7 separate regions of the Mus musculus genome follow, and regions 1, 2, 3, 4, 5 and 6 are each reported to be linked to region 7. The links are microRNA targets in miRTarBase. Many come from high-throughput screens and were not tested one by one. Region 7 holds a microRNA gene; each other region holds the end of a gene's coding sequence.
Evidence for each region. The annotated mature microRNA mmu-miR-546 reads AUGGUGGCACGGAGUC and lies in region 7 at 1,053-1,068, shown strand. An mRNA with a match to its seed (bases 2 to 7 or 8) in the 3' UTR can be bound and repressed. Matches are read on the target gene's strand: a 7mer-m8 pairs with bases 2 to 8, a 7mer-A1 pairs with bases 2 to 7 and ends in A, and an 8mer does both.

Region 1 (4,066 bases), not on the chromosome of region 7:
TAGGCAACAGGAAGGCCAGCGTAACAGCGGGTCAATGGAGCCCGCAAGGGGTGCGTCTAGGGCACTAGGGACCGCAGGGTTCCCAGGGCCAGTAGCAGAGCGGACGCGGACGCGCACGCGCACGTAGGGGAGCCGCCCCCTCCCCCCCCCAGCGTACACCCGGCGCGCATGCGCAGAGGCGCTCCGGCGGCCACACCCTTCAAAGACGCAGGGCGCGGCGTCGGTTGGCCTTACCAAACAGGCCAGGGCTCGCGGAGCGCGGAGCCCGAAGGCGTCCCTGTGCTCGCCCGCCAGGCCTCCCACTACTACCCACACTCACTAGGACCGCTCGCTCCCGGGACTCGTTACCGGCGGTCCAAGGCAGCTTCAAGACAACCAAGACAGCGCTCAGTCACCGGCTGGCTCTAGTCTGGGGCTCGAACGTCCTGACCGTGGCGTGATGACGTTACCCGGACGTCTGTCCCCGCCCTGTGTCGCGCACAGCCAATAGACGTCACCGCTCGGCTTGAACCGCCCACCACACGTCTCGCGAACGCAGTCGCGTGTTGGCGTTTGTCAGCAAGCCGGAAGCTGGCCCTAGACGGTGGCCCCGTGGGGACAAGTACCTCCCAGCCTCTCGTGCGCGCTCACAACAGCTTAGTTTTGACTCAGCAGTCAATAGTCTCTCAGATGTAACGCATAGGGACAGGAGTTGTGAGGCTGCGCACTGCGCTAGGACGATTTAAAATAAATGAATATATAAGCGGGTGGAGGGAAATGGGATAAGGTGAATCCTCCCTTGGAAGGTTTATTTAGTGAGTAAAATTGGAAAGGCGCACCTGGCGTAGGGAACAGCGAGTGCGAACCAAAGGAAGCGGGAAACGCGTCGCTTGAGGAATGGGAGTAGCCACTGGACTGTGACGCTGGAAAGGTACCTTGTAGGGTGTTGGGATGGTGAGATCTGCTCGGAGTGGCAGCTAGCAGAACTGTATCTTTTAGGATCAGGATGGCCCTGGAACTCAGAAACCCGCCTCCCTCTTAATGGGATTAAGGTGTGGGCCGCCACTTAAAGCTCACTGTTTACAGTAGGAGTGATTGAATTATGCAGCCCAACTTGGGATCTCCCGTTAAAATAATTGATAAGACTACCTTCTTATCAATTATTGTTCATCAATTGACCAGTTTCCAGTCTCACATTGTACAAGCAACTTTTGGTAATTAAACAACACTTGGATAACTCTGTATCATTTGCTAGTGTTAGCTTGGTAGGTTTCTTCCCATCTCTTTTTTATAATGAACTTTTATTTTAGAATAAATTTTAAGTTTACAGAAATTACAAAAGTAATACAGGAATTGGGCACACTATGCCCAGTTTCCCCTATTGCTAGATTCCACACCTCAAATTCATTTGTTAAAAGTAAGAAATTGACATTGCTCTAATATTCTGAACTAAGCCGCAGATGTGGGCGCTTTTTCTCACTAATGTTTCCGGTGCGCCATAGCGTAACCCAGAGCATCATGTTGCATTTGTCTTGCTTTTTTACCCATCCTGTCAAGAGCTGTTTATTGGGTTTATGATGCCCATTTGCTTTACCACACAACTGAGGTTCAAAAAAACAAAACAAAAAGCCAAACCAAACTAAACCAAACCAAAACAACAACAACAACAACAAAAAAAAAAAAAAAAAAACTGGGCAGTGGTGGCCCACGCCTTTAATCCCAGCACTTGGGAGGAAGAGGCAGGTGGGTTTCTGAGTTCGAGGCCAGCCTTGTCTACAGAGTGAGTTCCAGGACAGCCAGGGCTACACAGAGAAACCCTGTCTTGAAAAACCAAAAAAAGAGGTTCAGTGAGTCAAATAACTTGCTTACATTAACACTGAGGTGCCAGGACTAGGACCCATAGGAATCCAAACCAGCATTGTGCAAGAACCAGGGATACCCCTGGTGCTTCTGTAGTCACTTGAGGACCCTGCTCTGCCATCTCCCCTACAGAGCTGCTGGTCTTTGGGAAGAGTCCCACTGTGGCAGATTAGTTTTGTCTCCAGCGTTTAACTGAGCCAGGGGTTGCTTGTTTATTTCTTTCTGGAAGCTGGTCCCTCAAAGGATTACCAGGATAAGAGATGCAGTTTTTATCCTCTCACATGTAAGCATATTTATGTTTGTTTATTTGTTTTGTTTATTATTATTTTCACATAGCTGGTGATTCACAGTCTCTGGGCAGCATATTTAGAGAACCTGTTCCCTGGGCCTCCAGACCAGCACCAGCCCACACTCCACTCTAAATCCCACAACAAATAGGTACTCGAAAGGGGAAAGTAGCACATTGTGTTTGCTAATCATTAGAATTTGAACACTTTAGTTGGGTGTGGTGATACACGCCGTCACACGCCGTTAATCTCCTCACTAGGGAGGCAGAGGCTGAGGCAGGCTCTTCTCTGTGAGTTCAAGGCCAGCCTGGTCTACAAAGAGAGTTCCAGGACAGCCCAGGGCTGTTTCACAGAGAAACCCTGTCTCCAAAACAACAACAACAAAGACAAAAAAGACAATTTTATCCATTTGTTTTGGGGTTTTTGTTTTTCTCAGTTACTTATTATTAAATTGAGGTCTTTTTTGTTAGATAATAGAAGCTTTTTGAATTATGTTTATGTATTAACCACGTTTTTCTTTGCCATGTATGCTATTTGTTTTTTAAACAAATGAGAACTACATACATATTGTTCCCCAGACAATAAATTTCCCTTTTGACTCTGCCATGTTTGTTTTTACTTGATAACTTATTGAGTGCCTCATCTTTTCCTGCCTGGATTTATAATATCTTCCTTAAACCTTCCCCCTTCATATCACCCTGGTGGCACTACAAGCAAATATTCTACTTTCTCTTCGAAGACTTCTGTCCCTATTCTGATACAAGCGTTGGTTTTCTGGAGTCTTGTGCTGGGTGTGAGCTGCTAGGAAGCAAGTTGATTCCACGCCTTTCCTAAACCCAGCAGGCTTTGTACATTCCACGGGACTGGAAGCTTGACTGTTCCTGTGGCTGCACGCCTGTTTAGATTTAGTGCTAGGCTTATTCTCTTCCGGTATCTGCTTCTTCCCCCTTGTCAGGATTCACATGTTACTTATAGAAGCAATGCAGTGCTGAGCCTGGACAAGAGGAGAGTTGCCTTTCAACCACCAGAGGAGGAGTGTCCCTAGCCCAGTCAGGACTTCCTTCTCTCAGTAGTTGGGGTGGATAAGAAGGACCTAGCTGCTTGTAAAATAAAGCCTTCCCTTTTATTTCAAATCAGCCCTCTTCCAAGTTAGTGCCATAGGTTGAGATCGCTGGGGTATGGCAGGAAACAGGGACGTGCCTGTACCTGCCTCCAGCTTCATCCCTCCAAGGACAGGACTGGCAGCCAGAGGTGAGGAACACCAGGCTGTATAGGTCAGCCCCCTTCCCAGCCACCCCTGGTCCCTGTTGTGCCACCTCAGCAATCCCCTGTGCTAAGGAGAAATGGGGATGGGGGGGTGGGTGTTAGGGCCAGAGCAGGTTGCCATCCTAAGTGAGATGTCCATAGCCAGCAGTGTTAGTGGTCAGAGCCCAGTCAAGGTCAGGTTAGTGGGGCCTTCTCCAGCAGCCAGGAAAGGAGCTAGAGAGAGGGAGAAATGAAGAGCTGATATTCACTGGAGACCCTCCCATGGACATCCACCCAACATAAGAGAGCTACAACTACTGTAGGGGAGAGCCAAGACCCAACTGTACACATTGAAGGTTACCATAGAGGAGAGGCAGGCTCCAGACTGGAGGGGAGGCTCAGATGGAAGACTGCCACTGCACAAAGCGTTTGGATTCCTGGCAGGATAACCAGGGCAGGAAAGACACTCAGAATCTGTTGTGTACGTGGGGGCCCTTCTCTCCTCCCTCGGGCCCAGGCTTCCAGACCCCAGCCTCCTCCCTCATGGCCAAGACTCATCCCTGTTCCCCTAGGACCTCAGACCCAGAGGTCCAGTCTCATTTCTCTTCTTCTCAGACCCGAGAATGCAATACTCATTTCCCCTTCCAAGAGACCCAGGAGCTCAGGCCCCAGGCCTCCTCCCTTCACACCAGGAT
Region 2 (4,066 bases), not on the chromosome of region 7:
GGGCACTTGCCTGGTATTCAAGAGGCCTTGATTTTGATAACCAGTAAAATGCAAAACAATAAATAAAAATAACCTTTTAAGTTGTGTGTGGTGATGTGTGCCTATAACGCCAGCACTGGATAATATAAGACAGAAAGAGCACCATGAGTTTAAGGTCATAGCAAGATCCTTTCTCAAAACAGCAACAACAGTAACAAATGAACAAGCCAAAATCATCATCACCACCATCACCACCACCATCATCATCATCACCACCATCTTTTAAATACAAGCCCTTTGACTAGTAGGGGGAGAGGCCTGCAGCTATGGGATATCAGATGTGGCAAAGCCATGCAGGTAACTGCTCAGGGAGGAAGTGGGCCATGATGGTTTTGAGTAGAGCTTTGGAGCCACACAGACCTGCTCCAGACTTAGGAGTTCTGATACTCACCCACTGTATGGCTCGGGCTTGTCCCATTAACATGTTGAGGGCCAAGTTGCTCGTGTGAGCCACTTACATACCACACAAGAGCTTAACACAGTGCCCAGCTATCTGAAGTGCTCGACATACTTGCACCATCGGGATGCTTTTTTTGTCATCTTGTCACCTAACCCATTGTATGGGGCCAACCTATTCTGTTGCCCTATTTAGCTAGGCTGAATAAAGTAAGACAGAAAAGCACTGGCGTGAGGGAATGTGGGTCCCTTCCCCCTCAAACTGCTCCTCTGAGGCCTGATCAACTGTGATAGGATTAAGAGATAACGTGGTCAGAAAGGCGGGACCTTCACAGATGGCACGAAGGCTCTTATGAGAATAGATCAAACTCCCACCACACACATGAGGACATAGCAAGAAGCCACCAATCAGATGAAGAGGTCCTTCCACTGAGCTTGACTGTGCTGACACCTGATCCCAGACTTCCCAGCCTCTGGGATTCTGCTTAGGCCAGAACAAATGAACTTAACCACTTAAATCCACTTTCTTATGGAAACATGAGCATCTGTAATTTTGCTACTTGGGACACTTGAAGGTGAAGCATACAAAAAGCACCACCTATTGAAGGGGAAGTCTCCTACACCTTCATGGATGTGTGCAAAGCTAAACCTACAGACCCGTGAAGATCAATCTCTTCCTTCCTCTCACACAACTTCATCTAGCTATGGTTTCTTCCCTGCGCTGGGCCCTGAGGACACGGAGTGAACTATGAGGCAGCATAGCCTCAGGGACACAGAGAAGAAAGGCCCTGCCTGGCTCAGTTTCCACCAGGTGCACATGAAGGAGGCTTCACACTTGAATTTCTGCCCTCCAGTGTGAGGCTTCCTTCCTTAAAGGAGCTTTACCACCGGCTCCTGTCAACAGGCAAACCTCACTCAGGTCTATCAGCAGCCTCGATGGCCTCCCCTCCTGTCTCCAGCATGAAACTTCCTCTTCCTCCCTGGGGCCTTCCCACGGTTAGATGCTCCCCAACCCTACCTCCCTTCAATAGAAAGAAAAGCATTAAGGGACAGCCTACTGAGTGTGTAGAACTGAGTGTGTAGAAATTAATTTCTTCAGTGTGTTTTAAACTATTCCACAGATTAAACTTGAAGCCGGGTTTGTTATGAAAGACCTTTCGTAGGCCTAGTAGCTCACACCTATCGTCACAGCACCGGAGAGGCTGAGACAGGAGCACCATTGCAAGTCTGAGGTCATCCTGGGCAACAATGTGAGGAGAAAAAAAAAAGTTTCAATTTACAGCAATAAGAGTGTATACACACACTCCAAAAGAAAAATAAACACAAAATCCTTTGTGTGTTGGAGAATGAGGAGAGAATCAGAGGGACATGAGGGACCTGGAAGACATAGTCCCTGTCTCCTCCTCTGTCTGCTCATTCCAACCTTCAGGATGCCCAGTGCCGTGAACAGAAGACATGAGCTCTCAAGGCAAGGGACGGAGGTGGTCCAGCCGCAGAACCAGAAGGCTGAGAGATTAGCTGACAGCACACCTATTAGCCCTGGGAAATGGCAAGTGCTTCTTCTACCCAGACCAAGACCCAGGTTCCAGGCTTGTGACTGAGCTTGGGAGAGAGACAGACAGAGGAGAAAACAGCATGGAGGGTGGGGGAGGCGTCCTAGGATATGTTTAACAGACTGTATCCACAGAGAGTCAGCCAGAGAATCCGTGTGACAAGCTGACTTGCTTATGTCAGTATAATCCACAGTAGGGTTGCTCCTGCAGGCTCCTCACTCTTCATGATGACAGCCATACAACCCCTCTACAGTGCTGGGCTCCAAGAAAGGCGCTACAAGTGTTCCCAGTTATCAGATTGGAACTACAAATGATACATCAGGGTGTAGAAAAGGTGATCGAAGCTGGGCGTGGTGGCACACGCCTTTAATCCCAGCACTCGGGAGGCAGGGGCAGGTGGATTTCTGAGCTCGAGGCCAGCCTGGTTTACAAAGTGAGTTCCAGGACAGTCAGGGCTATACAGAAGCCCTGTCTCGAAAAACTAAAAAAAAAGAAAAAAAAAGAAAAGGTGATCGACACTATCACTTTCATACAATCAGGAAGGAGGATTGCATATATGCACACCTCCCTATTGAGTTAGTATTTCCCAACGACTCTTTATTATCTGAGTAGGGAGACTTACTCATTCTCTGAACCTGAGATCTGTAATTTTTTTCACAAGTGCGTATCTATTCATGAAACAGTAAAAGTCATAAACACTGCCTTTTCCCTTATACATATACACAGGCATGCTATATAGGCGCCTTTCTAATTGCTTTGATTCAGTCTTAAAATTAATAAATGATGGGGTTGTGCCAGCCAATTAACTATTATTTATAACAACACTTGCCTGCCCTCTTTTCCCGAGACCTGTAACCAATCAGGAAGTACATGTCAGATGACACAGGCAAGGAGAAGGGGTCCCTCAACAGCATCCATGTGACTCTCGAGATGAAAGATTTTTTTTTCTTTCCATCTCTGTCTTAATGAGTGAGAAAGGAACACTTGGTGTGCAACTGGAGTTCTCTGAGTGACAGGTAATATCGTAAAGAAGAAATTTTCTTTTGTAATTACAGAGAAAGTCATTTGGCAGTGTTAAAATACCTTCTGGGCCAGAGCTGTATTTTATACACAACTCTGAATAACAGGGAAATGGAAGATGAATTACAGAGATCAGTTTATGGTCATTGGAAAGTCTGATGAGCTAGAAAAAAACACAGCACACAAAGTAGTTCCAACCAAATTAAATTCAGGAGTAACAATAACGCCACAGACATATGGTTGAACCCCACAAGGTTATTTTCTCCTCATACAGCAGTTTGCCTTTTCAAAGAAAAGACTTCCAAAGCATGAAAACAAGAGCTCGATATTTGGTTATTATTTAAATAAGATGTGGATTTAAATATGGCATAGTTGGGAAATGCACTTCATTGTCTAAATTAGGATGGTTGTTTTAGTCTCTCATTGAAGATGGACTACTCATATGGCTTCCCAAGGAATCTCTCTGGTTGTGCTGGGCACAGAGTTCTTCTGCAGAGTAGAGTTAGTGGAAGCAGCAGCGGCAGACTCCCTCATAACCCCATGCAGAAAGCTTGTTCAGATGTTTCAAGACAGAGCATCAGTCCTCTTGGCTTGCCCTTTCCCCTCTCCTATGAGTCTCTGAGGTACATTCATACATTCATGAATGTTGGGCACAGGACCTTGGGGTTTAGAAGATCTTGCATTCATTGATGGAGAACAGCTTCCTTCTGTTTCGCCTCCTGGCCTGGTTGACAGCTGTTCGGACAGCACATTCAAATACCTGCTGTACTCCCCGGTTGCTGAGGGCTGAGCACTCCAGGTAGCCCTTGGCTCTCACATCCTGGGCAAGTCTCTTCCCTTCTATGGCATTGATGCAGGAAGCCCTGTGAGGTCCCACCTCTCTCTGGTCCGTCTGTGTGGCCACAACCAGCACCGGGGTACAGGGTAGGTTGCTCCTGATCTCACTAATCCATTTGTTCTTCAAGTTCAGGAACGAGTTATGGTTGGCCACAGAGTAGCACATCAGTACCACGTCTGCCTGCTGGTAGGACAGGGGCCGGATACTTCTGAAGGCGTCG
Region 3 (4,066 bases), not on the chromosome of region 7:
AAGTTGTTAAATGTTGTAAGCACAGATGTACTTTAACACTCAGCTAATTTCTGTTCTCTTAGTCAAATTGCCATAAACAAAGATAATCATAGCTGGCATTTTTATTAGGAGTTTTAAAAGTTCGCACCCAACAAGCCTGTACCTGTTTATTAAACACAGATTTGTAAAATGAAGTCGTAGTTATATTTTATGGTGTATTATTAAAACAGTTACTGGCATGATCCAGGAGTGTACAGTTCACTTGGATTCTACCTGTCTAGTTGATATTTGTTGGTGGGTTTTTACAGGATGCTAATTAGCAAGGTCCAATGAACTGAAGTGTTTCAGGAACCACTGGTTCAAGTTGATGTTAATATGATGGAAGCAACACAGTGACCCGTGGGCTGTTAAAATGGAAAAGGGTACAAAAGTCTCCCTGGCCACTCAGTGCATCTGTCAGGGGACCTCACAACACCATCCCACAAGACATGCATGCAGAAATACTGGCATCTGGTTGACTTGTTTGAAATTACCAAGTCTGTTTTAAGTATAGGAGTCAGGAGTCCAGCGTCCTTACTGCACAATGAGGCCTTTGACTGAAGGCTCCAGGTCAGGATGAAAATGCTATGATACCAATACTGACCACAAAACAGCAAGGTCTGTGGTTGCAGAACAAGTTGTATCTCAGCCTCAAAAAGGACACATGGATGGCAACCTGTGAGGACTCTAGTGGGGACTGGTGATGTGCTCATGGGAGAGTCCAGATGCAACTTCCATCAGGGAAGTCCAAAGACAAGCATTTTCCCATCTCTCAAAACCTTCCTGTTGTATTCATTCAGTACTTAGTAACCCAGGGTTTGCTCCATTCCAGGGTATGCTTGGCAGTGGCTTAAGTCAGTGTACAACTCAAAACTTCATTTGGTCTCAGATTTAGTCTGCTTTTCCCCATTGGCAAAAAAAAAAAAGGGGGGGGAGGACTATTTCACTTCAACTGATTTATCATTGCCAGGACTGGAGAGATAGCTCAGCAGTTAAGAGCACTGACTGCTCTTCCAGAGGTCCTGAGTTCAATTCATAGCACACACACACACACACACACACAGCAACAACAGCAGCAGCATAAAACTATAACAATAGAGAGGATCCAATGCCCTCTTCTAATGTGCACACAGACTTGCAGAAAAAAACACCCATATACATAAAATACATAAATTTTTAATTAATTAAATTATTGTAATGTTTACAAGTTTTTTTTCTCAAATAATTTCCAGTAGGTATCTTATACAAGCTGTAGAGTTCTTAAACTGTAGCAGCAAAGAAAGGCAACATAGACTAAAAGACATAAATGAAAGTCAGCTCTCAGCCAGGCGTGGTGGCGCACGCCTTTAATCCCAACACTTGGGAGGCAGAGGAAGGCGGATTTCTGAGTTCGAAGGCCAGCCTGGACTACAGAGTGCATTCCAGGACAGCCAAAGCTATACAGAGAAACCCTGTCTCAAAAAAACAAGAAAAAAAAGAAAGTCAGCTCTCGGCAAATTCATTTTATTGCACTAAGAATTTTACCAGTAACCACTATCAAGAACTACTACATATCTTTTTTTCTACCTATTCTATCAATTAAAAGCCTAATCCCTATAGGTGTTTTTTCCCCAAAGAGTTATGTTGCTGGGTAATTTCTCTAGGCATCTGTGAGAAGTGGTGTGCTATCCCATGTCATACTGTTGACCTCCAGGGTTGACCTGGGGAGTTTGGGTAACCCACTGTGCTCTGGGTGGGCTTGGGATAGTCTTCAAATGTAAATGTCCTGGAAGGGGAGTTATGTGGTCAGATGATCTCTGCAGTTTGGTTTAGGCCATTGATGGTCTACAACTGATGAATTACAAGTAAGTTCTAGGAAGGTGTTAAAACCACTGTACTGCCTACAAAACCAGCACTGTTCCTTCCCTGAACTGAAGAGTACTTTGCTCTGTTGGCAGTAACAGCGCTCAGACACTTGTCTCTTGATCTGAAGAACCCCAAACTAAGCTCTCTGAAGCACTGGCACACCTTGAGAAGAAACACGGAAATGCCATTTGAATATATAATGTTTAAGAAGAAAGGGCAAGCCAGGCATGGTGATGCAGGCCTTCAATCTCAGTGCTCCGGAGGCAGAAGCTGGCAGATCTCTGTGACCAAGGGCAGCCTGGTCTACACAGCCAGGGCTACAGAGAGGAACAGTGTCTCCAAAAGTAAACAACAACAACAAGCCACGTCAGGGAATGAATTGGAAGTAGTTCAAACTTTAAACATGAGCCTTTATTGAAAATAGCTAGAGCCAGGCATGGTGAAAGATTTTAATTTCAACACTTGAGAGGCAGGGGGATCTGTGAGTTCAAGGCCAGCATAGTCTACATATGGAGTTTCTGGTCTACAGAGAGACCCTGTCTCAAACAGGTGGGAAACAGACAGACATACAGACAGGGTTTGAGATGTCTATTCAAAGACGGGAAATGGCCCAAGTTAAAAGAACAGATGAGAGCAAGGGTAAGATGTATAGTAATGAACAGAACAGAAATACCATCTCAGTAAGCATAGCTGTCAACTATAGTCTTTTACATTTTAAATTATATGTCATTTTAAATATATATGTGTGCATACTGAACCTTGCAACTACCAAATTTGAGTCAGCAAAGAAACCAAGGAAGAGACAGAAACCAGGAGACTCTGCAGAGGGTGACAGGGTGGCAGGGTCAAATCCGGAAAGGAATCAGTGCAAGGGACAGAAGGGACAGAAGGGATCTGGCAGTCAGTCTGGTGGCCTGAAAAAGAACTAAGTCACTGTTCTTAAGGGCACTGTCATTAAGGGCAAAGGCAGCTTACAGCAGATCGAGCAGACAGAGAACGGGAACCCTTCCAGCACGCCAGCCATCATGCGTCTCGGTGTACCGAGTGGCTGCACGTTCCCTGTCGGGCAGTTCTGAAAAGTGTAAAAGGGACAAGTTTAACCCCTCCCCACCATGGCCAAGGGCTACGCTATGAGTTATTGGTGAAGAAACTATTCGGCGCCGCAGTTCAGGCGTGTGTGCTTTGTGTGGACAGCACCAGCTTGAAACCAACCAGTCAGGTTATCTGGCATTCAACACAGTGCAGGCTTGTGTAAGAAAGGATTGTGCAAGCTTGGGTAAGAAAGCATTGGCTCATCAACTCCATGCTTAAGGCACGGCTCCCTGCGGCACGAGACGGAGAAGCCTGAGGTCATACGGACATTTCTGCAGGATCGAACTGTATCCTTTCAAAATGAAAGTCCTTCCACTTTGAGTGCCGGTTCTGAACTCCGCTCACAATATCTTCCACGACGAAACTTTCAATTTTTATGACTGGAATCTCGAACGTCTTGTATCTCACAAAAATTCCCCAGTCGTGGCTACAGTTCTGTTTGGCGCAGAATATCTTTGCTTTCTTCTCAAAATTGTCATAGATCTTTGGTTTAGGGTGTGGCTTACACACAAAGCGCTCCTTAAAAGCGTCTCCAAGGACAGTGTAGTGGGACGTCTAGGAGGAAGAGATGGAGCGCACAATGTTAGAAACGGGTCTGAAAATGACTTAGAAGCCACTCAGTAGCTAAAAGTCAGGAATGAGTGGGATCCCATTTATTTTACAAGTTGGAAGAAAAAAAAACTATATAGACAGTCTTCCCCAGGCCGATTAGGACCCATTTCCTGGGCGTCTGGCACCTGAGAAAGGAGGAAACCCAGCTTTCCAACTCAGAAGCAAAGAGGAGTTCACATACAAAGTTCAAGTTCACCAGAGGCCAGGAAGGCACCAAAGCACAGGGCTGGTGACACCCAGGGGTCACAGGGTATGTGTGTGAACAGGCTCAGGAGCCATGCTGTCCACAGACCCCACTTAGACTTGACTTAAGAGAGTACCCTACAACTGAAGGAACCCCACAGGGAGAAAAACAATATCAACCAACCAGTCCCCCAAGAGCTCCCAGCGACTAAGCCATCCACAAAGGAGTACACATGGCTCCAGCTGCGTGCGTTGCAGAGGATGGCCTTGTCATGCATCAATGGGAAGAGAGGTCCTTGGTCCTATGAAGGCTTAG
Region 4 (4,062 bases), not on the chromosome of region 7:
AAAGCAGACTAAAATGTAGAGACTGTGGGTAAAATTAGACCTCAGAGAGACCTTTTAGTATTGGTTGGCCCGTTAGTGTGGTAATTCCACTGAGACTGGTTGTTGGGAACACGAGGTTTGTCTGGCATCGGCAGATTAATAACATTCTCGGTATTAGGCAGATCTGCAGCTTTTGCTGAACTTGCTTTCCCAGTGGGATGTTGTTCGTTGTCAGGCCATGATTGACCCAGCCACATCACTGATGCTCCAACCAACATGGCTTTTCTAGGTTCTCACGCGGTTTTTGGCCTCTTCCACTCCTATCATGTACTGGTTTCCAGCTCACCTGCTTCAGGATCAAGAACCGCTGCTGAGGTGTGTGGACACAGAGCCTGGGAAGCTTCCTCAGGAGAAGTCCCCACCAGGACAGAAGGCCCCCAGAAACTGTCTCATGAAACTCTTCTACGATTGGAAGAGATGCTCTCCAGTCACAAGATGCGTTCTGGTCTACTTCCTGACCTACTGGCTTCTGGGACTAATTCTCCATTGCAACTTCCTGCCTTGGACTTGACCTGGAGTGTCAAGGAATGAAAGCTCTAAGACGACACCCTGGCTGGGACAGCCCGCACACTCCGGAGAGCACTGTGCAGTAGGATCTCTGGGTCTCTCTGGGGGCCAGCTAAGAAGGGAAAATGGGAGCACAGGCGCCCCTTCTCATCCTGGGCGGGGCAGGTGTAGGGGAGTAACTTCAGTGCTCAGTGCAGGGGTCTCAGATCTCCCTAGTCCACAAGTACTAGGCAATCTTAAACCTACTACTGATCCACGTGTAAGTCTGTCTTCTTGTTTTTTGAGAGAAGGTTGGTTTCTCTACATTGCCCTGGTTGTCCTGGAACTCACTCTGTAGACCAAGTTTATGTAGACCAGGCTGGCCTTGAACTCAGAGATTCATCTGCCTCTGCCTCTTGAGTACTAGGCCCACCACTGAGTGTGAGCCACCCCTGCCTGGCCTGGTGGATAAATTTAAATGTTTGATCAAAGCACAGGCCAACAGCCTGCCCCACTCAGGATGGTGGAGTCAGTGCAGTGTAGTGACAGAAGGAAGAGGGGACAGACAGCCTGCTCTAAGTGAGAGGTTTCTGAAGGTGGTTGTTTTCTTTTTTTTTTTTTTTAAAGATGTATTATATTATATATGAGTACACTAGCTGTCTTCAGACACACCAGAAGAGGGCATCAGATCCCATTGCAGATGGTTGTGAGCCACCATGTGGCTGCTGGGAATTGAACTCAGGACCTCTGGAAGAGCAGCCAGTGCTCTTAACCACTGAGCCATCTCTCCAGCTCCCTGAAGTTTTCTTTATGATACTGGTGTGTGTGTGTCTGTGTCTATCCTACAGACTGTGAAAATCTAAATACTCCTTTTGCAATGAATTACCTTTTTCTGGAGGAGGGGTAGTCAGGGGAGCTAAGACAAGGTCCCTCTGTGTAACTCTGACTGTCCTAGAACTTGCTTGCTATGTAGATCTGGCTGGTTTTGAACTCAGAGATCCTCCTACCTCTGCCGAACTAGTTTCTATAAATTATAGAGGGTTGAGGCTAGAACTCCGTAGTAAAGCACACGAGGCCCTAATTTCAGTAATAAACACCACTTGGATCAGAGCACAGGGTCTGAATCTTGGCTCCCATTCCTCACTTTCCAGCTGTATGATCTAAAGCCACCTTCAGAGCTTTTGCCTTCTCTGAAATTAAGGAGGAGACTTCTTCCCTGGGGTGTGATTTAGGCCTTAAATCTTGAGGCTACCTTAAACAAAAGATAAATGGAGGCTCACAAGTGGTCTAATGGGAAAGTCCTCCTTTGATCAATTGGAAACAGCCTCCCCCCCACCTCTGGGAACAACTCGGAATAGAAGCTGTCGTGGAGAGTAATGACACCTGGTGGAAAAGGGTAACCCAGGGTGACTGGTTTTCCATTCTCAAAGATCACACTTGCATGAGTCAGAGGCACCTACCCCACAGCCTTGATGGGGGAACCTTGTAGCTAAGTCAGTCCAAGGTTGTCTACTGTAGCATCTGCCCTGCTTCCTGGCTCCCTGTGGTTACTAAGAGTAACCCTGCCCCTGAGGAAGGATGACTCCAGGATGCTGAGGCTTGAGGTGAGCTTGAGGGCAGCTACAGAATAAGACCCTGTATAAATGAAAGACAGTGTCCCTGCTGCGCAGCGTTTGTGCATTCTTGAGCCAGGTAACTTTGGCTCGGTGTCACCATCCTTACTCCCCATTGGGCCAAAAATTCCAATAAGCAGCATTCTTCAAAACAGATGGCAGTCAGCAGTGGCTTCTGGAAAGCTCGGAGTTGGAATTTGGACACACTCCCTCCGACCGTGACAGAAAGCTCAACTTGCCAGCTGAAGGGAAGCTCCTGGCCCAGGCCCAGCACCCTCTGTGGGAGCCTCCAGCCAGCCTGGCCAACGAGCATTCCCACCCAGCACCACAGCACTAGCACAGCCAAGCATTTGGTCCAGAGTCAAATGCTACTGAAAATGTACACACAGATTGGGGCAGCCCTCTGCCTTCTGCCAAGACACCAAGTGCCCTTCTTGGCAAAAGACAACACCTCTCCCCTAGTGTGTCCCTCCAGCTGGCAGACTGCAGCCTCTTCCCCAGCAGCTGCAAATCCTAGGACTCCCCCTCCCCCTCCAAAAAAAAAAAAGTGCGTGGGAGGAGCCGGGATCCTTTGGTCTCCCTCTCTGCTCCACTTTGCCTCCGTTTGGAGGGTAACCAGAAGTGATTGTTCCTCTCCTGGGAGAGGTGACTCACCCCCTACAGAGCAGCTTCAGTCTCCCCTGTTTTGTCCCTAGAGCCATCACTGAAGAAACCCTACACCTGGGCACCCCGGCTAGGTAAGCACACCTGGAGAAGGCCGGGCTTCTGGCCTGGGAGGCTCACGGCTCAGCTTGTAAGGAGCGGGCTGACTTTATGACCAGCAGCTGTCCCTTTACCGGCCTATTAACAGTCTTTAATAGTCTGAAGGAGGACCGTGAAGGGCCCAAGGCCGGAGCTTCCTGTTTCCCCGAGGTCTAAGAATGCCACAGCTGGGTGGGGCGGCCACGGTTTCAGAGAAAAGTCATTTCCTTCCAAGACCCTGCTAAAATACAAACCAGACACTCTGAGGACCCAGAAGTGGATGTCTTTTTGTTCTTTAATGGAGGTGGGAAAAGGGGAAGCTTTGGCGGGTCTCTAGTAGTCCCACTGGGGTGGGGCAGCGGAAGTCTGGGTCTAAAAATGTAAAGTGTGGAGGCTTAAGTTTTTAAAAGGATTCTTTTCACCAGTTGTTTATTAATGCCTGTTTTGGACTAAGGCAGGCCTAGCCACGCCTCCTGTCCTCAAGTGTTGCTGGCCAGTGCACCGGAGCATTCATTAGGGAAGTGGTAAATTCTTTAAAAAGCAACATTTTAGTGTGTGTGTGTGTGTGTGTGTGAGTGTGTGTGAACATGAACATCCTATAGCCCACGTGGAAGTCAGCATTGCCCTCTTGTTGAGTCTTAGTTCTTTATTATGCTGTCCTTAAAACTGGGCATGTCAGGCCTGAGGACAAGTCCCTTCCCCCACTGAGCCCTCTGAGTGCTGGCCCAGAAGTAGCAAATTCTGAGGCATAAAGGACATGTTTTGCTATCTTTCTACTTAAATTTTTTTTATAACGAGGATGAATTAAAGTTTTAATTTGAAGATGGTGTGGTGCACACGTGCAGTCCCTGCCCTTGTGAGATGGAGCAGGAAGATTGTGAAATCTAAGCCTACTGTGGTGCACACCTTCAATCCTAGGACTCGGGAGGCAGAGGTAGGGGGGATCTCTGTGAATTGGAGGCTATCCTGGTCTACAGAGTGATTTCCAGGACATCCAGGGCTACGTAGTGAGGCCATGTCTCAAAACAAAACAAAACAAAAAGAACTGGAAAGATGTCTCGGTGGTTAAGAGCCCCAAGTCCTGTTTTTGTAGGGGACCCAAGTACAAGACCCTATCACTGTAGCTCCAGCAGAGACAACACCAGGAAACCTTGACAACCTGCACTCCTGAGCACATTGCACA
Region 5 (4,066 bases), not on the chromosome of region 7:
CATTTTTCAAAGAATGAAGGTGATCCCTGTCAGCCATCTCTACCCTCTATTTTCTATTTGCAAAATCAGTGCCTTCACTCCACTTATTTTTATTCACATACAAATTAATATTTTTTAAGATTTTGGGTTTGTTTTATAAGTATGTATAAGCAGGTATTTCTGTGTGCTGAGTGCAAGCAGTGCCCACTGAGGCCAGAAGAGGGCACCAGAAGCCCCAGAATTGGAGTTACAGACAGTTGTGGGCTGCTCTGTGGGTCAAGGGGATTGAACCTGGGTCCTCCAGGACAGCCAGTGTGCTCTTAACTGCCTAGTCATGGGTCCAGTTCATGTACAGGTACCTTTTTATTTTTCGTTTGTTGTTTTTGTAAGAATTAGTTCTACCCTGTCATTGCTATTCTGAAAGAAACAGTGGGAGTTCTCAGGGCCACCCAGAATCTGAGAACCAAAACCAACCCTCAGGAGTCTCTCTTAAACCCACCTATCTAGACTGGAAACAAGGGAATCCGCTTCCTGTCCTGTACCATTTCCAGTGTGCCCTTGTCTACTCTCCTCCTGCTCCCACCTAAGGCCCAGCTAATGAGTTCCTTCTGCCTCCACCAGCACTGTTGCCAAGGGACCAAATGACGTCGTCCCAGGAGGAAACTTCAGCCTCTATGCTTTGAAGAGCTGCTGCAACCTGCTGAAACCACCAACGCTGAACTGCAATTGGATCCCTAATAAATTGTGATCTCAGCCATGTGTCCAGTGGGATTCTGCATGCAGATGCTGGAGTTCCTGCCCTGGAGGGGATAGAAAACTCCGTCATGGACTCAGACTTAATGGCAAAGGAGGAACAAGGTCAGGAGTGAGTCCTCCTGAGCTACAGTGTCTCCCTTCTCCTTTCTCTCCTTAGCCCACCATCTCTGCATGGAGAACTAGGATGTTGTCCCTAGCTGAGGTGTGATCCTAAGCCCCAACAATATTTTCTGACTTTATAGTTTCAAGGCATTTCATGAAAAAATATGTGTATATAAACAAATATATACACATATATATGTCTGTGTGTATATGTATATATATACACATGTAATAGTATATATATGCATACCATATATATTTATATAAATATATATATACCAATATATATGGTAGTTCCCAGCAACTGGGCCAGATAGATAGATAGATAGATAGATAGATAGATAGATAGATAGATAGATAGATGTGTGTGTGTGTGTGTGTGTGTGTGTGGTAGTTCCCAATATGATTTAAACACATCTCAGGCAAGGTCATTCCACCCTCACTCAAGGTCATCTGAAATACCTTCAACTTGAATCTCATGTGAAGGAGGGCTATTCTGCAATGGCCCATTCATTCGCTACCATCCAGAAGTTTCTCATAGATCAAGAGTCCTTCAGAAAAGCACGCAGGCCATACGAAAGCCAATACTTGAGTCCATAAACATAGAGCCTTGTAAGCAGCAAGCTTCCATCCACCTATGCTGCAGAGACTCCCCGCTAACTTCAACATCTTACAAATCTTTTACGGATATGTTTGAAATGCTCGGCTTCAAGATTCTAAGTCTCATCAGCCTCAGAGGCTTGTAAGCAGTCGTCCTCCATCTTTTTAAAGTTAACATTGTATTTTTTGAATGAATATCTTTTATTCTTTGGCAATTTTACACATGTGTATAATGTACTTTGATCATACCTACCCTTAATTCCCACTGCCCCCACCCTCCTAGACACCCCTCAGCTTGTCTCCACCTCACCTTCTTGCCCTCTCCTCTATGTTTTGTAACCTTCTGAGTCTAGGGCTGCCTGCCACAATGTTGCCTGGCACTGTTGGCTTGATCTTGTGGGAGTGACCATTTCTTCTGTAACTTACTAAGTCTAGGGTTGCCTGCAACAATGTTGCCTGGCACTGTTGGCTTGATCTTGTGGGAGTGACCATTTCTACCTTGAGCTCATGAGTGCAAAGTCTGTCCTGTTCGGAAGACAGCATCTCACAGCTCTTCCCCAGCCCCTGGCTCTCACATTCTTTCCTCCCCATCTTGAGCTCTATTCCCTGTGCCGCAAGGAAGTAGCTATAAATGTTCCAGTTGGAGCTGAGCACTCTGTAGTTGTGTATTCTCACATTTATCATCCATGAGTCTCTGCATTGCTAAACTGGGGTTTAATCATGTCTGTTTTCAGTACCCTGGCTAAAAGAAGTGGTCCCTATATGGGTTGACCTTAGGGAAACATGCAGAAACAGTGTAATAGCTCTTAACTTTGCTGCTAGGAGCCAGATTTGGTGCACACTCCTGTATTCCAGCTCTGGGAAGCTGAGACAGGAAGATTATGAGCTCAAAACCAGCACAGGGTACATAGCAAGAGTGTGTCTCCAAGCAGCAACAGCAAAATTTATACAAGGTAATAACACTCTTCATTTCCACTCTGTGCTGTGAGCCAGAGAAGTTCTGTGACAAGGAGGTGTCTGAGGCCATAAATGAACTATCCCTGTCACAAGAGGAAAACAGTGGACACTTTTTTTTTTTTTTTGGTTTTTCGAGACAGGGTTTCTCTGTGTAGCCCTGGCTGTCCTGGCACTCACTTTGTAGACCAGGCTGGCCTTGAACTCAGAAATCCACCTGCCTCTGCCTCCCGAGTGCTGGGATTAAAGGCGTGCGCCACCACGCCCGGCTACAACAGTGAACACTTTGAAGAAGTCAATAGACTACCAAGGTGCCTGACATCCAAGTCTCTGTGATTGTGTATATAGACCTGTTGATGTGCAATTTTGTTACATTCCTGATTAAGACTGTAAAACATTAGTGCTCAGTCAAAAAGCCACGTAAGGGCCAACTATGAAGGACACTCAATGCCCACTGAGGTGGGGATGGCTTTCACTGGCTCTCCTGTCAATCAGCAAGACACCAGCATCATGAGTGCTCCCTGGGGGTTATCAGCAGAACTCGCTTTAACGAAATAAGTATCGACGGTGCAGAGAACACACTGAGGAAAACCTGAGCCAAAGACGACTCAAAAGGAAGAGTGTCAGCGGGGAAAGGGTTATGCAATACCTTAGATGATGTATTCTGTTTCCCCTTCTGACCATGCACGAGAGCAATTAAAAAATAATCTATGCATAAATAGTTGGGATTATTTGTTGGTTTTGCTTTATGTTTGGTGGTGTGGGAGGAGGGCTTGTGTGTCCAAAGAACTTTTTGTCCCTGAAGTAAACAGATCAAGGTATTTCTAATTTTTTTTTTCGAGACAGGGTTTCTCTGTATAGCCCTGGCTGTCCTGGAACTCACTTTGTAGACCAGGCTGGCTTCAAACTCAGAAATCTGCCTGCCATTGCCTCCCGAGTGCTGGGATTAAAGTCGTGTGCCCCCACACCCGGCCCGGTATTTCTAATTTTTTTTATTATTTTCATCAATCTTTCTCAGTCTTTATACTTTAGGAAAAGCCATTTGTGTGTCCTTGTAAGCCTTAAGGTTTCATTACAGCCTACGGAACAACGTCGGAAGTGCCAATTATTCATATGTTGGTTCTCTCTTGTCTTCTATAGCTACTATCTTCTCTCTGATGCTTTTTTTGTTGTTGTTGTTTTTGTTTTGTTTTGTTTTGTTTTGTTTTGTTTTTGTTTTTTGTTTTTTTTTTTTTTTTTGGTTTTTCGAGACAGAGTTTCTCTGTGTAGCTCTGGCTGTCCTGGAACTCACTCTGTAGACCAGGCTGGCCTCGAACTCAGAAATCCGCCTGCCTCTGCCTCCCAAGTGCTGGGATTAAAGGCATGTGCCACCACACCCGGCTCTCTCTGATGCTTTTTAACCTCCTGATTTTTTTTTATATATTTGTATATATTCTTCCTGAGAATCCCTGAGAGAACCTTTTTGTTATTTCTAGAATGCCTATCAATTTTTTTTTAAATTTTGTCTTTGGTCAATATGTTTCTTTGTTTAACTCTTTCCTGAGCCTGTCAGCTTGCCTCAAGGAAAGCAATTATGACTGTTTGTCAAAAAGTTTTTTCTCTTTAGTTTGTAAAAAATAGACGTTCACAATGAAAACACTGTTTGTTAAACTGGAATAAGAAAATCTAAAATATA
Region 6 (4,066 bases), not on the chromosome of region 7:
AGGCTCCATGTTTCTGGTTTTCCTCACATCTAAGCTTCCTCCACTGTTTGCTGATGTGTAAAGTGATTGTTTTCAGTAGGCAATTGTGGGTTTCTTCTTTTTCTTTTCTTTTCCTGCTGTCACTTGTATACTAGGCTTTACATGTTCATGATCTCTCTGAATGCTGCATGTTCAGGTGCTAGAGCTACTGCCTGGTAGACAGTGCCACAAAGCAGTGGGCCAGAAAGTTACCCAAAAAGAGCTCCTCCCCCAACCCCCCAAGTATTAGCAACTGTATCAGCCTTGCCTCTCCCTGGGCAGCTATGTATGCTTGAAGATTTCTCTGGTCTCTGATGTGCAGAAAGCCTTGACCTGTTTTGCATGTGGATGAGAAAGGCCAAGAGCCACCTTCTTACTCCTGCTGTCCACACTTGAAGCCTAAAGAATCCAAGAGGAATGGTGTTTCTATACGTGTGGCAGTCAAATTGTGTGTGCATTCTGAGCCTTCATTTCTTATCCATACTTAAAACATGCTTTTGTTTTTTTGTGTGTGTGCAACTGGTAAAGATATCCATAAGTCTTTATACCCTACATTGTACCTGGTCCTTGGTAGTATTTATAGCTCTGCAATGCCATTTCTAGACAGTGGCTACTATTACCATTATGGAGGGTTTTCAAAATTTCCAGCATGTGAAGTAGTTACTGAAACAGAAATTCTGATAGAATTTCTTTTACCTGAACTGAAACACTTTTGTATTTTCTTTGCTTAAGCAGATGATGCTGGAGGGTCTTGAAGTTTTTAAAACTTGAAACTTGAAAACCAGCCTTCAGCAACCACAGTGCCATGCCCAAGTGATGAGGAATGTACAGAGGACTCCATATGGATCTCTCAATAGTGAACTGTCACACACCCCCAAAAGAGCCATGTGGGTGTGTGGCCTTTGTGGTTGAATGACAGAGCTCTACTATGCGTTTAGCTGCTCAGGAGGTGACATGGACACACTTCAGGTATACTCATAAGGACTTATGGACAGCTACCTCAGGGACCAAATTGAGGGGTGGGATGTACCTGGCATTGTTCCCTTTTTCCATTTGACATGTTTTCTTATGTCAGGGTGTTATTTTTCCTAATACATGGAGGAGAATGAGTACTATTCGAGCAACAGTAGTTGCCAAAGAGAAAATAAGACATAAACATTTATATTTTATATCTTTATGTGGAAATACATGGAAGCATCTTTTGGCTGTAGAAAGTTTTTTTTTTTTTTAAAGATGTGTTGGTTACAGTGTTAAACAGTAAAGCACAAGTGGATAGTAGAGGGGCTGAACCCACTGGTGAAAATTGTTTTTAAAGGGATGACTAGATCAATTTGGTTTCTTTGGAATTTTGACATTTTAGTAATTTCTGTTCCAAAGAATTGGTAAACTAACTGTTAGTGAGTGTTAAGTCCAGACAGACTGAAGACCTTTCCCAAAGTCTTCAGTGCTGTCTAGATCCACTGTGTGACTTCCAAGTTAAAAAGGGAGAGTGAAGCACAAGATCAAGCTTTAAACTTTTAGAAGTTCTAAGCTTTCCAAGTCTTATTTCTCTAGGATAAGGCCCATCCTTTCTGATCTCCTCTCTTCCCACGGTTCATATTAAGATTTACTTGGAGTGGAGTAGGCAATACTTTGAAAGGGCTTGCCAAATTTTAACTACATTCAAGGTTAACTTCTGGGAAAACACCCATGCTTAGACTACTGCATATGTCCACAGCTCCTCTGATAGTGACTGTGGCAAAGGCTCACATGTTATACAGAGTGGTCCTGAAAGGAAGACTTCTTAGAAACAGGTCCTGCATGGTTCATTTGAGGCTATCCATCTTTGATATGATGCCAAGCTCTGCCTGTGACATTGCATGGACGGCACAGTAGCTCCCAAGGGATATTGACAATTAAGAACAGGAAACATAGGTTGCTACAGGGAATGAGGGAGAAGCCAGAGACAGGCTAAAGACACCTCCTCACTCCCATGCTTTCTAAGTGTGGAAAATCTTTTATGTCACTGGTTATAAATAAAATTTTTAAAGTCAACCCTGTGTGCTCAGTTTTTCTTCAGTTATGACAAGATGTGGTATGAGAATGTTTAGCTTGAGTTGCCACTGAACTATGAAGTCAAGCAAATGACTTCTGAATGTGTTTAAAAAATGAATTTTTGAAAATTATTTTTTGAGGGCTGTAGAGATGGCTTAGCAGTTAAACGCACATATTACTTTTGTAGAAGACCCAAGTTTGGTTTCCAGCACCCACATCAGGTGACTTACAACCACCCAGGGAATACATTGCCCTCTTCTGGTTTCTGTGGCCACCTTTACTCACATCTGCATAGACCCCAACAGAATGAGATGATTTATTTATTATTATTATTATTATTATTATTATTATTATTTTGAGATAGGGTCTTACCTTGTTGGCTAGACTGTCTTCCAACTCACAGCAATGCTCCTATTCAGCTCATTAAATATTGTGATTACAGACTCAGTAGTGGGCCATTTTTTTCTTTTTAAAATACATTTACCAAGTGATATCAGGGGTAGATAGGTAAATATTGAAGTTGATCTAATAAATTGTTTAGCAAAATTACATTCAGCTGACTATAAAAGCAGTATACAAACTGAAAACAAATCAGTCTATGAAAAGCTTTAGTGTCACAGCGAAGGATCTGAATTTTCTTGTTATACTGAATTATATCTATTTTGTTATGGTGTGTTTTGAATGTCATTTTATTTCAGTGATTCGGGCATTAGGAAAGGAAACAGTCTCAACACAAAGTATTTGCTTCTCTTTTTATCAGTTGAGAAGCATGAAGCTAGCTGACAAGCTCTGGCCCTTTCTTGTGGTTACTGCCCAGAGACAGAGAGTTGGCACATTTTAAGTAGTTGTTCAAGTAATTCTGAGAACCTTACAGCTTCACCAAAGCTAGAAATATTAACTGGATCTTCAAGAAGTCTGCTGAACCTTGTTCTAAGTGAATGCAATAGTTTGCACCCAGTTCTTTGGAGCTGAGAGAATATCCTGAAATCTTTACTATGCAGCTCCATAAGACTCAGAGGCTCTCTAGTTCCCATATGCACTATGAGTTTTGTATGGCCATATTCATACCTATTTTTTGTAAGCTAACATCAGGGTCCTTTCAGGGTAAACTAACTATTAATTGTAACATTTGTGTATTTCTTAGGAACTTCATGTATATAACGCTATCTTTGCTTTTTTGGGGGTGTATAGTTCTATAACTGTATCTTACTACATTTTATTTGTGTGTGTGTGTGTGTGCATATATAGAATGAAACTAAATCTTGTAACTCAGTCTACCAAGCAGGTGTAGAGCATGTTCTGTGTACAGGAAACAAATGTTAATCAGAAGTGAGCCAAGGTTTCAGAAAACAGTTCCTGGGTCAGCACTTGGATCAGATTTGACATCTATGGAGTCCTGCAGGATCCTCCTGTTTTACTTTGAAAATGGGAACAAGCACTGCTGAAAACTACCACATTCCAGCTTCCACAATGACTTTACATGAAGTCCCTATAACCTGGAAAAGCCTTACAATTCAGTGTACCCTTACAAGAAACTAGACTTAGAAACATTAGCGTTATACTGAAGTTCTATGACTCAGTTTCACCCTCACAAGTTTTCTGTTTTTAAAACTTGTGAAATTACTTTGTTTTCAGTACTGACACACATTCTCTCTGAAATAATCTCCCATGTAAGCCAGGCTCAACAATTTATTAGCTGTACTATGACTGACATTTTTAGAAACTATTAAGGCTGTGAGGTACTCAGTGGTACAACACTTAGACATTCTTTCTGGGTTCCTTCTCCAGCACCACAAAAAAACCAGACCCCCAGACCAGCTGTTTCCCTTAAACGCAAGACAAGACCAGAGTAAAGATGTTGCAGAATTCAAAATTTTATAACCAATTTGTTTCAAAACAAAAGCCCTTAAAAGCAAAAGAAAACCATATACCTCATTCATTGATGCCATAGGAACCTCCATTGGAATGACACTGAGCACTCCTTAGCTGAGTGGGCTATAGTTTTTTTTCTACT
Region 7 (4,066 bases):
TCTGTGTCTTCCTGGTGTCCCGCCCTGGCCAGCTCTCGTCTGCTCTCGCCTTTATCCTTCTCGGCTGCTGCTCTTCCTCTCCAGAGCCTTGGGAGAAGGACTTTCCCCGGTTGTACTTAATTGATTGGTTGTCCCAAGTGTTGCTCTTACTTGATTTGCCAAATGCCTCCTGCTTCTCGTTATAGGACTGAGTGAGGTCCTCATAGCTCTGTGCTCTGGGCAGCTCTGAGCTCTCAGCCCTGTTGCTTTCAATGTCAGTCACAGAGTGGAAGTTTCCCCAAAGTGGAAAGCTACCATTGGGAACACAAGGGGCCCCTGAGGGGCCTCCACCTCACTGCCTTAAGTGAGTCCCGCCCACTCCCTGCCTCCCTCCGAGGTGGGCGGGAGTTCCTACCCCATCTCTGCTTCCCCTGGAGGCCGGCCAGCGTTTGTGGGTTGGTTCAGGTGTGGTACCTCCCACTCAGGAGTCAATATTTTCAAATTTTTCTAGTTTCCACACACGAGGTCCTGCCTGGGGTTTGAGAAAGCCTGGTGGAGGAGTGTGGTGGTGTGAGTGGAGACTGGCTGGCATTCCTCCAGCACTCTGCAGACTTCTTCCTGGGCCCGAGGCTATGGAGCCTTGGCTTTCACTTCTGTGACAAACACATGCCATTTCCCCAGCCTCATTTGCTGGTGTCTGTAGGGTCCTCCCAAGGTGAGCTGAGGGCTGCAGGTGCTAGCCAGGAACATGGGAGCTTGACTGTGGCTTCAGGTCCAGACCCTGATCTCACTGGCATCCCAATACTGCAGGAGGGGTCTTCTCACAAAGCTCTGAGGGCTGGTCTTGACTAAGCAATAAGAGCCTCAGAGTTGATTGAATTTTAAGGTCCCTTTCTGGCTTCTTGGTTCTCCATGTGACCAAAGCCCAGTGTGGCTTCATGGGAGCCCTGTTACTTCTCCATGAAACCCCAGCTCTCTAGGCCTGACTGCCACCAGAGTCCTCTTACCACCTGCAGTCTGCCACAAAGATGCCATATCAACTCCTCTCTTCCCAAAACTAAACAGGATCTATCATGGTGGCACGGAGTCAGCTAGATGTTGTCTCTTGCTATCCCTGTGCTAGTTCCATGTTTTAGAAGCAAAGTGATACTGGGGAGGAGAGGAGGGCAAGTGAGAGGAGCCAGTGCCTCCTGAAGCCCTTGCTCCACTGCCACCAGCCCGCCTGCCCCAGTGCAGACTGGTCTTCAGGAGTCAGTAGACCACCGGACCAGGTGTCAGCATCCACTCCAAGCCATGCTAGGAATCTGCCCCCTGCCGGGTTCAGCTCTTTAAGGTGCCTCTTCAGGGACACAGTGTGTGTCTGATTGGGCTTCGCATCAAAAGCCTGACGTTCCTGTCCCTCTTATAGGGGGAGCTTTGGACACAGGACCAGTTTGATAAAGGGCCAGGTAAGGGTTTCCACTCTGCACATTGTAGAGGGGACACCGAAGGCCCATGGGTCCCTAATTAAAGAAGTTGAGTGAATTTGCCTTCGTTCAACCAGGGACCTATCTCACTCCCTCCCAAAGATTTTTGTATAATTGTATAACCCCCCTCCCCCTGTTAACAGTGGCTCAGAAAAGCTTTGTACTAAAAGCATGGGACCCTCACAGCAACCATTCCTGGGAGATGGGTCCCTTATAGGTCCATGACCTGCTCTGTTCAGAGGCCTCTTGGCAGTGTGGCCTGTTTGTGCTGTCCTGCATCCAGTGTGTTGGCCTGGCTAAGTGAAAACGGTGAGCTGTTTCCCCTTTGGGCTACTTAACCACGGCTACTCCTTTTTTAAAAATGTCCTAGTTCTCCCCTACACACACACACACACACACGGTTTGATGAATTTCCAAACCACGGCTACTCCTTTTTTAAAAACGGGTTTGAACTCCTGTTTAGCCAAGAGTGATCTTGAGCTGGTCTCCTGCCTCCACCCCCTGAGTGCTGGGGTTACAGGTGATAGCTGGTCTCCTGCCTCCACCTCCTGAGTGCTGGGGTTACAGGTGATCGCTGGTCTCCTGCCTCCACCTCCTGAGTGCTGGGGTTACAGGTGATCGCTGGTCTCCTGCCTCCACCCCCTGAGTGCTGGGGTTACAGGTGTGATCACCTTGCTGGCTTGTGAGGTGCTGGGGACAACCCAGGGCTTCGTGCATGTCAGGCACACACTCCCAACTAAGCTACATCCCCAGTCCCTCTTTCTAGAAAACAGATAAGTCCATGTTCAGGGGAGAAGAGGTCACAGGTCAGGCCAGCTGCCCCATCCTTTAGTTCGGGGTTAGCTCCCAGAACTGCCCTGCACCATAAGCTGGTGATTCTCCATGCCTGTCCTTACCCCGGATCTGGCTATTCCCGTGATGCCATTTGGAGGGGAGAGGTCTGCTTCCCACTGTGACCAGGCTATGGGATCCTTGGCCACCTTGCTTCATGATTTGATACATTTGTTGTATTCAAAAACTTGAACTGTAGGATGCCATTAAGAGTCTGTTTATATTTTTGGAATATTTGTATTACAATTGTTAATAAAGGCTGGTTTAAAAACCTGTGCAGGACTGGGAGCTGCTTTTGCTTTCCTTCCCTTCCACTGACCTGACACTCGGTGGACACTGTTCTTCCTGCATGACCTCGTTGATCGTGAAATGATAGCACCTGGCAGAGCAAACGCTGGGATTCTGATCAAGGTTACAGAGGTTGGAGTGCATTAGCCCCTCTCGGGCCTGGGTTGGAACCAACTCCCTCTCCCCAGGTACTTGGCAAGCGTTTGCTTGCTGTGCTATTGACTGGGGTAGAGACTGAAGCCCTGGGGGAATTGGAGGCTCCTGCATGTGCTCTTGATGCTGCCAAACAGGCCTTGAGATTCAGAGCCCAGCATGGTTTCCAGGCACATAGTAGGATGACTTGTACAGACTCCAAGCAACAAAAGCTTTCCTGACACCACAGAATTGCCCAGAATCATCTCTCAGCCCTGAACGTCCAGGCACACAGTAGGGGAGCTCTAGCCAGTCTCCTGTCATCAGCATAATACGTTCATATCTACAATATGGCAAATTCATATCCTCCCTCACTGAATTATTGATGGACAGTGCACTTTTAAAAAAATCAATAGACCAGGGTGTGGAGCTGGAGTTAAAAGAAGCCTTTAGAAGTCTGCTCTTCTTGTTTTCGCTGTTTTGCATAGGAGCAGATAAAGCTTTCCTCTCTGGTTTGAATAAGTCAAGCCCAGGGCTAGGTTGGCTGTGATTGGCCAGAGCTAGGAGAATGTGGTTATGATGCAAACACAAGCAAATATAACCCTGTGTCTATGCTGTGCGGCCATTGCTGAAACAGGCTTCAGGACGGGCTGCTTTGGGAGACCTCATCAGTACTTCACCTGCTGCTTTGCCGGACTTCGGAGGACAGAGGGTCAGGTAGGTCTACTCTGTGTGTCCTTGTCAGCCAAATGCTGAGTGTGGATGAGGCCAAAGGTGAAGAAGGGACAAGAGTCATACCTTCCCTGGCTTTTGTCTTTGGGGATGCAGCTTTGGAAAGATGGAGCTTTGCAAACTTCACACTGAGAGAACCTGTAGATCCCACTGGCTAGGTTGGGCACGTTCTTGAGGCTCAGGGATTTGGGGTAACAAGACCCCTCTCATCTGTTCCACTGTGGGGCAAGAGAAGTTTAAACCCCAGTAGGTTACAAGCTACCTGGAATCCCCAGACCATACCCCGTGCCTGTGATCTTTGTAGCTCTCCGTACCCCAAAGTGCTGGTGGTTACGGCTTGGGAAGACAAACAGACCCAGCTTTGGGGGACTTTGATGTGGATAGATGGAACTGGGCTTTCTGGGTGTGGCATTTCCTGAATCTTGGGTCTCTAATCAGCTCCTGGATTCTGAAGTTCCATGGGGGACATGGGACTGCACTGGGGGCTCGGATTCACCGTGCTAAGGTTGCTGGTTAGGCTTTACCGATAACCAGGACTGTGTCAGCTCTGGTTCCCTTTCCTGGGTGGGTCACGCATTAGACTTAAAAGTGAGAGAACTCGGCCTGAAGGAAAGCTGACTATTTCCTGGTGGTTCTGA

Region 1: the mRNA of Ttyh1 is a reported target of mmu-miR-546. Seed matches in the 3' UTR shown: 7mer-m8 at 2,826-2,832.
Region 2: the mRNA of Rhoh is a reported target of mmu-miR-546. Seed matches in the 3' UTR shown: 7mer-m8 at 2,340-2,346.
Region 3: miRTarBase lists Ddx58 as a target of mmu-miR-546. Seed matches in the 3' UTR shown: 7mer-m8 at 2,771-2,777 and 7mer-m8 at 1,350-1,356.
Region 4: miRTarBase lists Pigv as a target of mmu-miR-546. Seed matches in the 3' UTR shown: 7mer-m8 at 1,236-1,242.
Region 5: the mRNA of Slc28a3 is a reported target of mmu-miR-546. Seed matches in the 3' UTR shown: 7mer-m8 at 2,647-2,653.
Region 6: miRTarBase lists Fam118a as a target of mmu-miR-546. The part of its 3' UTR that is shown has no 7-base or 8-base seed match.

The regions. Positions count from the first base shown.
Region 1 is chr7:4,133,405-4,137,470 of GRCm38, reverse strand. It overlaps Ttyh1 (tweety family member 1), which reads right to left. Exons shown (of 14, transcript NM_021324.6): 13 at 3,733-3,808; 14 at 2,064-3,605. The coding sequence ends at 3,770. D030047H15Rik (RIKEN cDNA D030047H15 gene) reads left to right here and starts at 545. Exons shown (of 3, transcript NR_033548.1): 1 at 545-910. It also overlaps a transcript of Leng8 not described here.
Region 2 is chr5:65,892,574-65,896,639 of GRCm38, reverse strand. Rhoh (ras homolog family member H) reads right to left here. Exons shown (of 3, transcript NM_001081105.2): 3 at 1-4,066. The coding sequence ends at 3,676. Among named protein-coding and RNA genes, the nearest start is that of Gm32474, 18 kb to the left of the region's middle.
Region 3 is chr4:40,202,597-40,206,662 of GRCm38, forward strand. Ddx58 (DEAD/H box helicase 58) reads right to left here. Exons shown (of 18, transcript NM_172689.3): 18 at 1,181-3,510. The coding sequence ends at 3,214. Among named protein-coding and RNA genes, the nearest start is that of Ddx58, 35 kb to the right of the region's middle.
Region 4 is chr4:133,658,998-133,663,059 of GRCm38, reverse strand. Pigv (phosphatidylinositol glycan anchor biosynthesis, class V) reads left to right here. Exons shown (of 4, transcript NM_178698.5): 4 at 269-1,635. The coding sequence ends at 550. Among named protein-coding and RNA genes, the nearest start is that of Pigv, 12 kb to the left of the region's middle.
Region 5 is chr13:58,552,351-58,556,416 of GRCm38, reverse strand. Slc28a3 (solute carrier family 28 (sodium-coupled nucleoside transporter), member 3) reads left to right here. Exons shown (of 18, transcript NM_022317.3): 18 at 601-3,110. The coding sequence ends at 727. Among named protein-coding and RNA genes, the nearest start is that of Gm38494, 7.9 kb to the right of the region's middle.
Region 6 is chr15:85,060,779-85,064,844 of GRCm38, forward strand. It overlaps Fam118a (family with sequence similarity 118, member A), which reads left to right. Exons shown (of 9, transcript NM_133750.4): 9 at 754-2,052. The coding sequence ends at 773. It overlaps Smc1b (structural maintenance of chromosomes 1B), which reads right to left. Exons shown (of 25, transcript NM_080470.1): 25 at 3,911-4,066. Among named protein-coding and RNA genes, the nearest start is that of Fam118a, 26 kb to the left of the region's middle.
Region 7 is chr10:126,997,419-127,001,484 of GRCm38, forward strand. Mir546 (microRNA 546) reads left to right here and starts at 1,022; the gene lies at 1,022-1,142. Ctdsp2 (CTD (carboxy-terminal domain, RNA polymerase II, polypeptide A) small phosphatase 2) reads left to right here. Exons shown (of 8, transcript NM_001113470.1): 8 at 1-2,557. It overlaps Avil (advillin), which reads left to right and starts at 3,291. Exons shown (of 20, transcript NM_009635.3): 1 at 3,291-3,413.